Linked DNA regions of Lytechinus pictus. The protein of the gene in region 1 binds, or shares a complex with, the protein of each later gene. Links are inferred from orthologs where the notes say so. Each region holds a gene or a part of one and is shown on either strand. Other genes may lie near its edges.

Region 1 (3,758 bases):
TATTGTCACATTAAAAAAAAAAAAAAATATTGTATAATTCAAACAATAAAAAAAACCAAACAAATAGTGAGTGAGGGACATCATCAACTGTCTCATTTGCATGTCACTGAGTTATGCATGGGTGTTTTTTTTTAATAAGCGAAACTTAAAAATGTCATAGCTTTGTTATTTTACATCCGATTTTGATGAAATTGTCAGTGTTATGCTACAGTACATGTAGTTTGACTTTTCTCTATTTATTCTAATAAAATAAAAACATTTTCCTGTGGTGGACTTGACCTTTAATATGCATACAATAACAGATAATTATTCATTTTTTGTTACAGATTTAATTATTGATGTTACAAGATTAATACTGCTAAATACTAGGGTGATCCAATGTTGCATTAACTTTTGACACCAAACACATTTCAAAATTCATATTTACATTGCATAAACCCTTTCCACAGAGGATTATCTATTGTTACTGGTGGTGCTGTGACAATGCTCAGCACCCCCAGTAACAATAATATAATCCTACGTGGACAGGGCCCTGTTACATTGAGGTCTATGTAATAATTAGTTGTTAATTAGTCATTTTAAGAAAAAAAAAGGTATTTGAGACTTAACACTTTTTCACTAAGAATGGTAATACCTGTAACATCCAAAAAATAATTTTTTGGACCATTTTTACCCTGTTCGCGAAATTGGACCACCTTATGACATGCGACCATATGCAATGCACTATTTTTTAAGTTTGTACTCTACATGTAAATAATTAATTAATATGAAATATCAATTCCTTTTTTTTTTCTTTAATCTGATTTTGTATCATGAAATCACTACCATAAAAAGTACCACATTATAAAATGGAAAAAGTGATCATCATTGGCAGGCCCCTAAAACACAGTATTACACTTTGGGTAGACATGAACTTTAAGAAGTAGGCTACAGGCACTCATCTAATGAACAAGGTTATGATACATGTAGTCACTGGGTGGGGGAAATAACGTTGGCAATGTTTGGCGTAATTTTCTCTTCTTCTTTGGGACAAATGCTTGATTTTATTGTCAGTTTCCTCCATTACAACTAGATCTATTCACCATATAACTTGGCTCTTAGGCAACTTAAATGATTTCAATTATTATTTTTTCTAAATTAAAAATAGATTGTTGAATGACAATTTTCTTGCAATTTTACTTTCCACCAATAGAGGGCCTACACAAAAATATGCCCAAAATTCAAGTTTTTGAGCGCTCTGGTGAATACAAAAATAATCCCGAAGTTACTAATAAAAAATAAATTGCAACTGTATTGAAATCAGTATCATTGGTTTCAAAAGTGATATTTTAATGATTTTTTTTTAATGTGTTTGTAGAGGTCTACTGCATACATGTAGGTCTCTGTATGTAGTTTCCAATTCCCCACAGCTAACACTAGTAACAGCTAAGGCAGAGTGGTTGCAGTGATCAAGGAAGTGGCTACAGGTAGTACAGGTACATGTACAGTAGTTTTGACCACCATAAATAGACTTGGATCTAAGACTGTAGATTCTACCCTTTTCACAAACTTGTATTTTAAAATAATGATTAAAATAAGACTCAATCAAACTCAAGTCAAAGTTAGACAGAAGAATATCAACTTCATTTTCAGTCTTCATTTCATATTTTAAAAAATGCAAAAGTATTGACAGACACACGTCACATTTTACAGTTACACATTCATTCTCTCAACAAGCATAGTTCTTCTTCCTATGGCCTTGGCATATTATCGTACTCGTTGTGCTTGTCAAGTGCCCAGATGAATAGTGCGAGTAAAAATCTCTACAAAATAGTTTCCTTTGCTTTATTTGAAAATACAATTTCATTGGACCTTCCAAAGTTCCAACTTCCAAGACACAAGAAAGATAGCATACTGAACTACAAAATACAAGTACATAACAAAGGAGACATATCCGGCTTGATAGAGATCTTTCTAGCAAGCTAGCCGCGCTCGTTCAAATGTTTTAGTGACTCATGAATATTCATGCTCATGCCCAACGTGACGAACTCGAAAAAAAATTGTGCACGCCCTGTAAAAATGGGCCCACCTCTTTAAAATAGAATTTCATAGCACTTTCATGACTAAAATTTCCCCCAAAGTATTTAAATGACGTATGTTGGGGTAAAAAAAAAAAGCTAAATCCGGACTGAGCAAGGTACAAATCGAAAGCTAACTTATCACATTACCGACCTGTTCTAGCTGCAATCGGCTGCTGAGCTGAGCCAGTTGTACGCACGCTCCATGCTATATGCAGTGTTGTAGGCGGGGAGCGGAGAAGACACGGTTATGTCCCGTTGAACACACAGCTTAGCTCAAATCACTTGTGCTCTCATACATACAGCACATAGCAAGGCTTTTCGAAAATATCTGTCCGAACAAAGACGCACGAACAATGCCTTGCTTAATTTAAACCATGAATTCGTCCAAAGCGCGTCATGAAAATTCACAGTATGATAGTCCAGACTCTGCTTGATATATTCCAGAAGACAATGGTGCAAAAAGTTACGCATTTAACGAGATATTCGAAGCCAAATTTTGACGATTGTACTGTCCTGATACGCACTCGACGGGCTACCCTCCGCTCATTTTCAGACATCTTTTCGAAGGTACGAAAAGCGCCCCCCTAGCTTTTCAAAAATTACGCTATGCTCTAACGCCATCTTTAGTTGGAATTCGAGAAAATGTGGAAATGTTTTTTTTTTTTTCAAAAGATTTTGACCGGAGAGTTGTGAGGATGTTTAGATAGAGGGTGTAAATAGCGATGTTTGTCCTTAATTTGCTCACAATTCATTATCGCTGGTGCCGAAAATTATTCTGCATGTTGTGAACTCTCTAACCCATTCCCCTCGTGCACACTAAATAGACCATTTATTCACCATGACCTAGTGGGAATGAAGTTTTAATGAAAATAAATGATATATTTGTGAGCGAGCAAATAAACCACATTTTGTTATGGCATATAAAAATACTTTTCTGATGAAAATTGTTTTATTAGTAATAATTGATCATTATCAATTAATCAATCTATGAAGAGACGGGGGTGTAGACCTAGTCTATATTTGTCTTATATTCATGATTGTCTTCCAGAAGGCCTAGATATTTTTCGGTCATCTCACTAATTGCATTTGTTTGCTTTCGAAACTATGCTACATTGCTACACATCTATTTTAAGATTGTCTGCAGATTTATGTGAACGAAGGCAACCACAGCGAGAGATAAAAATAGCATTCTATGTATATGCGTATTACAGTATAGGTGAATTTTTGTATAATCAAATACCAGGGGAAAAAAAAAAGGAGAAAGAAAAAAAAAGGGGGGAAAGGGTATATAAAGGGGGTAAAAGAGAGGGGAAAAGAAAATAAGAGGAGGAAGACCAGTGAATGAAATAAGATGAGGGGAAGACTTGGAAAATCTTCATTGTCACTTTAAAAAATTTTCGCTCTCGCTTCGCACTCGCATTGCCTGATCGAAGATACAAATCTTGCTAAATGGGCTGATATAGGGCTTAAAATATAAAGTTTGAAGTCAATATATAAAAACATATTTCAACTCGGACATCAAACTTTCATTATTTTGTTTGATTTACAAATTAATTTGAAAAAAGTGCTTTGTAAAATGTCGGTTTATACGGTCTGAATATTAACATTTTCAGCTCGCGCTGCGCGCTCGCATTATTTGATTTGTCAAGTACATATCCTCTTCGATTCCATAAAGCAATATCCCTTTTCAGGTCTGAT
Region 2 (3,758 bases), on another chromosome or scaffold:
ATTGATTGATTGATTGACTGATTGATTTTATTTGTCAAGAATATCACAGGTAATATGAGATACAATGAATTATAAGAATCCCGTGACACGAAAGCCGCCTTATTTCCAATGGGGTCCTATTGATAGTAAACAGTAATATATTGTAACAACAAAATGTATAAACCACAAGTACTGGAACATGGCGGTAAGGATATATCCATCGATCAAATAATTTGCAAAAACCTGAAGAACAATAATCTACCTTATATGAAACAAGGTTATATTTTAACATATATCCTATATAGGCCTATTATTTATACTAGAAACCAACTGTACAATTAAGGACCCCCCAAAAAATAAAAATAAAAGAATACTTTGATTTTTTTTCCAGAACCATTTCGTGTGTTAAGTCTTTAGTATGAAAACCCCTTTTTTAGCAGAATTTTTCTGTGTGGTAGGCCTATAACCTTGAACTGATTGCAAGGCTCCGTAACACAAAGCTTAGCGATGAATGGCAAATATGAAAGAATTCTTTCATATGATGAAAGAATACTTTTATATCCTGGTCAGTATCGGAACCAAATGCGTGTGTAACATTGATCTTGATTGGTCAGTCCATTTAGCGATTGATCGCTAATCTTTGCTATGTGTCTTGTCTGATAATCTATACCTCACAACAAATAAAGTCTCTTTCACTTTTTGAAAAAATTGCTAGGTCTCTTTATCATTCCTGACCGAGGCAAAAGTTATTGATAATATTATTTGAGAGTGATTTGACTAATTATCTACTATCAATAAGCACTCGATTCTTCATTTATTAGAGTTTGATATGCTTCTTCTTGTCTTGTCCCATTTGAAACCTGCGCATTATACCCTTTTTAAACCCGTCTTCTAAAAAAGCTCATTTTTCTCTATCAGATCATCAGAGTAGCTCGTTTTTCCATCATTGTGTTGCTTCCCTCTACGTTCGTTATTATTATATTCGCGTATAAATTGATTGATTGATGATGATCGGACTTTGCCCAGATGCGGAATTTTTAAGGTCGAGAGAAAAATGTCGTCCAAAAGTGCGCAGCAGGCGTCAGATACGAGAACAGAATTAGCGGAATTGGTGAAGAGAAGATCAGAAATAGCTGTAAGTATCATGACATCCTATACCGTTAAGTAAAATACGGTAATTAGATGTCAGATTAATGAGTTTCGACAGATTGCCGTACGGAAAAGTGCGAACATCTGGCCCTGCGCTGCTTGACCGACGGTATACCGGCACATGCGAAGTTTACGCGAACATATCTAATGGGATTTTCACAATAATGTGATATTTTTACTTAAAATGCACAAAGCTAATTCCCGTCCCCGTATAGATCTACATCATTGAATCAAATAATATATTTACGCAGTACAATTGTCAAATGTTGAATACATTGGTGTTTTTTTGAATAAATTTATTGATTTAATCATATCATTATGATCAGATGAGAGATAATCAAACACAGTCAATCAATGACAATGTTTCTTAAATGACAAACGTCCACTACACTACAGCCTACAGGATGAATACCAGGCCTGGTGAATCACAAATAGTGTATTTACAAAGAATAACGATGTACACATTTTGCCAAGATCAGCTTTCTTTTTTTATGATATCGGCTTTTGATCGCACCCCTCGGCCCTCTTCGCATGTGAAATATGTTTGTCACTTGAAAATGGTATTACCGACTCTGTGTTTTCTGTGGGAAAAGTTTGAAACTTCACAAAATCACCTAGTTCAACCATATTTTGTTATTTTGAGAATAAATGAAGTGTGTTTTTGGCTTTTATAATTTTGTTCATCATTTTTTCTAGTTGAATTCCCTGGCTTTGGAAGGATGTTGCAAAGTTTTGAGAATATATGGAAATTATTTTCTGATGCGTAAATTCATGTGTTCGGTAATTACAAGGCCAATCCGTAAAACAATCACTCACTTTACTGACTTTAACTTCAATGAAAGGGGTAGGTATTGTCTTTAAAAAAAAAAATTAACTTGAATATCCTATGTACAGGAGACACTTGCAAATCTTGAAAGACAAATCTATGCATTTGAAGGCAGCTACCTGGAAGACACAGCTTTGTATGGCAACATTATAAGAGGATGGGACAGATATCTAACAAATAAGTAAGTAGGAAATAGGAATATTGTTTGTTGTTTACATATGTATTTGGTTATCACTTGGATGAATGGTTTTTCAGATATGGGTGATTTTAGGGCCGAGTCGAAGTGGGCAATTTCTTCCAGACCGATGGACTGCTAAAATAAAAAATATAAGAAATTTAGTGTCACCAAAGACTGAGAATAGCAACCATTTTCAGGCCTTCATCTAGATTTATACCGTATATCGAAAATTACACATGATACTATATATCTAAACAATAAATCAACCCAGTAACGCTATGAAAATAGTAGCACTGAGCAGGATTTCTCAATTTTCTTGCTTGAATTCATCGGCACGAAACCTTATAATCCCTGTGGCATGGATGCATCCATTTTGTTCTGTTTGCAATTTCTAGCAGGGGGCACAAGTGCTACTCCACAGCAATTTTCAGCACCGGGTAACTAAGAGTTGCAAACAAACAAAACAACAGAACAAAATAGCTCATTAGCATCTCTCTTTTTTTTTTGGTTAAAATTTTTCATTAATCTCTAAATGCAAGTGTATTCAGGTTTACAGTTGAGTTTCTGCGCATATCGTTTCTGGTACGCCTCAGAATGTATTGTTTTTACTCAGCAATATGTTACCAATTCAGTAAGTATTTGGTCTTGAATTCAAGAAAAGATTCAATTCTTACAATTAATGTTGGTTTAATGATGATTGAAATATAAGAGATAATATATGAAATATAAGAGAATATGCGAGTAACATTTTATTATTTGCAGGAGTACCAATAGTAAGACAGACAAACGAAACAGAAAGTTCAAGGAAGCTGACAGACTGTTTTCTAAATCAAGTATTACATCTCAAGTAAGTGTTCTAGGGGAAACCAGTCTTTAACAAATATTGAAAGAAACCGGGCCAGGAATGGGAAAGTAATGGCTGTTTAAAACTTTGAAATATGAGATTACTAAGACTACATTAATTTCAAATTGGCAATTCTGTGTGTTGTGTTAAAATGTCATACTGAGTCAAACTTGAAAAAATACATTTTAGTCATCACAGTGACATCACTTTTCTAGCCATTTTGTAGTCTAGGTGTAGAGATTTCAACTTTTTACATAGATCTTTTAAAAATTCATAAATGAAGGGTGAAATTCCATGATATATGCATATTTAATACTTTGTCAACCAAAATGGAAATGACATATATTCATGTTTGATTTATATTTCAACATGAGACTGAGATGTAGGGTAAAGGGCAATTGCTTTAATTGCCTTAATACACAATATGTCATTTTTTCAATAGTTTTCTTAGTATAATAGTTTTATGTCATAGGCAGATGTTCATACTATATTTGATTACTGCCCTGAGTAAAAAAAAAAAATGTTCGTAGAAGAAACAAGTATTAGTACATGGCAAATTTGTTTAAATTGGTTTAGAAATGAGCTATATACAAATATTGAGTCTTGTAAATTGGTCTCGTACAAAAATAAAGGACTGATGATATTTCCATTCAGGCAAATAAGCCTGTGATCAATGTGGGCATTCTTTACAGAAAGTTCTTGACAGATATCATTGGAGTGTTGCATATACTGTGACCTTTGATGTGTGAAATTTGATTTATTGTACTAAAAATTCATCAGAT

What was found. The genes of interacting proteins can lie anywhere in the genome.
Region 2: peregrin-like (region 1) and chromatin modification-related protein MEAF6-like share a complex: the UniProt entries of both Drosophila melanogaster proteins name them as parts of the enok complex. The link is inferred for Lytechinus pictus from reciprocal best matches to the Drosophila melanogaster genes Br140 and Eaf6.

The regions. Positions count from the first base shown.
Region 1 is NC_087247.1:47,613,669-47,617,426, reverse strand, and holds the start of peregrin-like, read right to left. Parts: upstream 2,646-3,758; 5' UTR 2,212-2,645; intron 1-2,211. UniProt on the Drosophila melanogaster protein: Scaffold subunit of the histone acetyltransferase (HAT) Enok complex which has histone H3 acetyltransferase activity.
Region 2 is NC_087246.1:18,104,920-18,108,677, reverse strand, and holds the start of chromatin modification-related protein MEAF6-like, read left to right. Parts: upstream 1-882; 5' UTR 883-1,033; coding exon 1,034-1,114; intron 1,115-2,022; coding exon 2,023-2,135; intron 2,136-2,894; coding exon 2,895-2,979; intron 2,980-3,758. UniProt on the Drosophila melanogaster protein: Component of the Enok complex which has a histone H3 acetyltransferase activity. Might be involved in transcriptional activation of selected genes.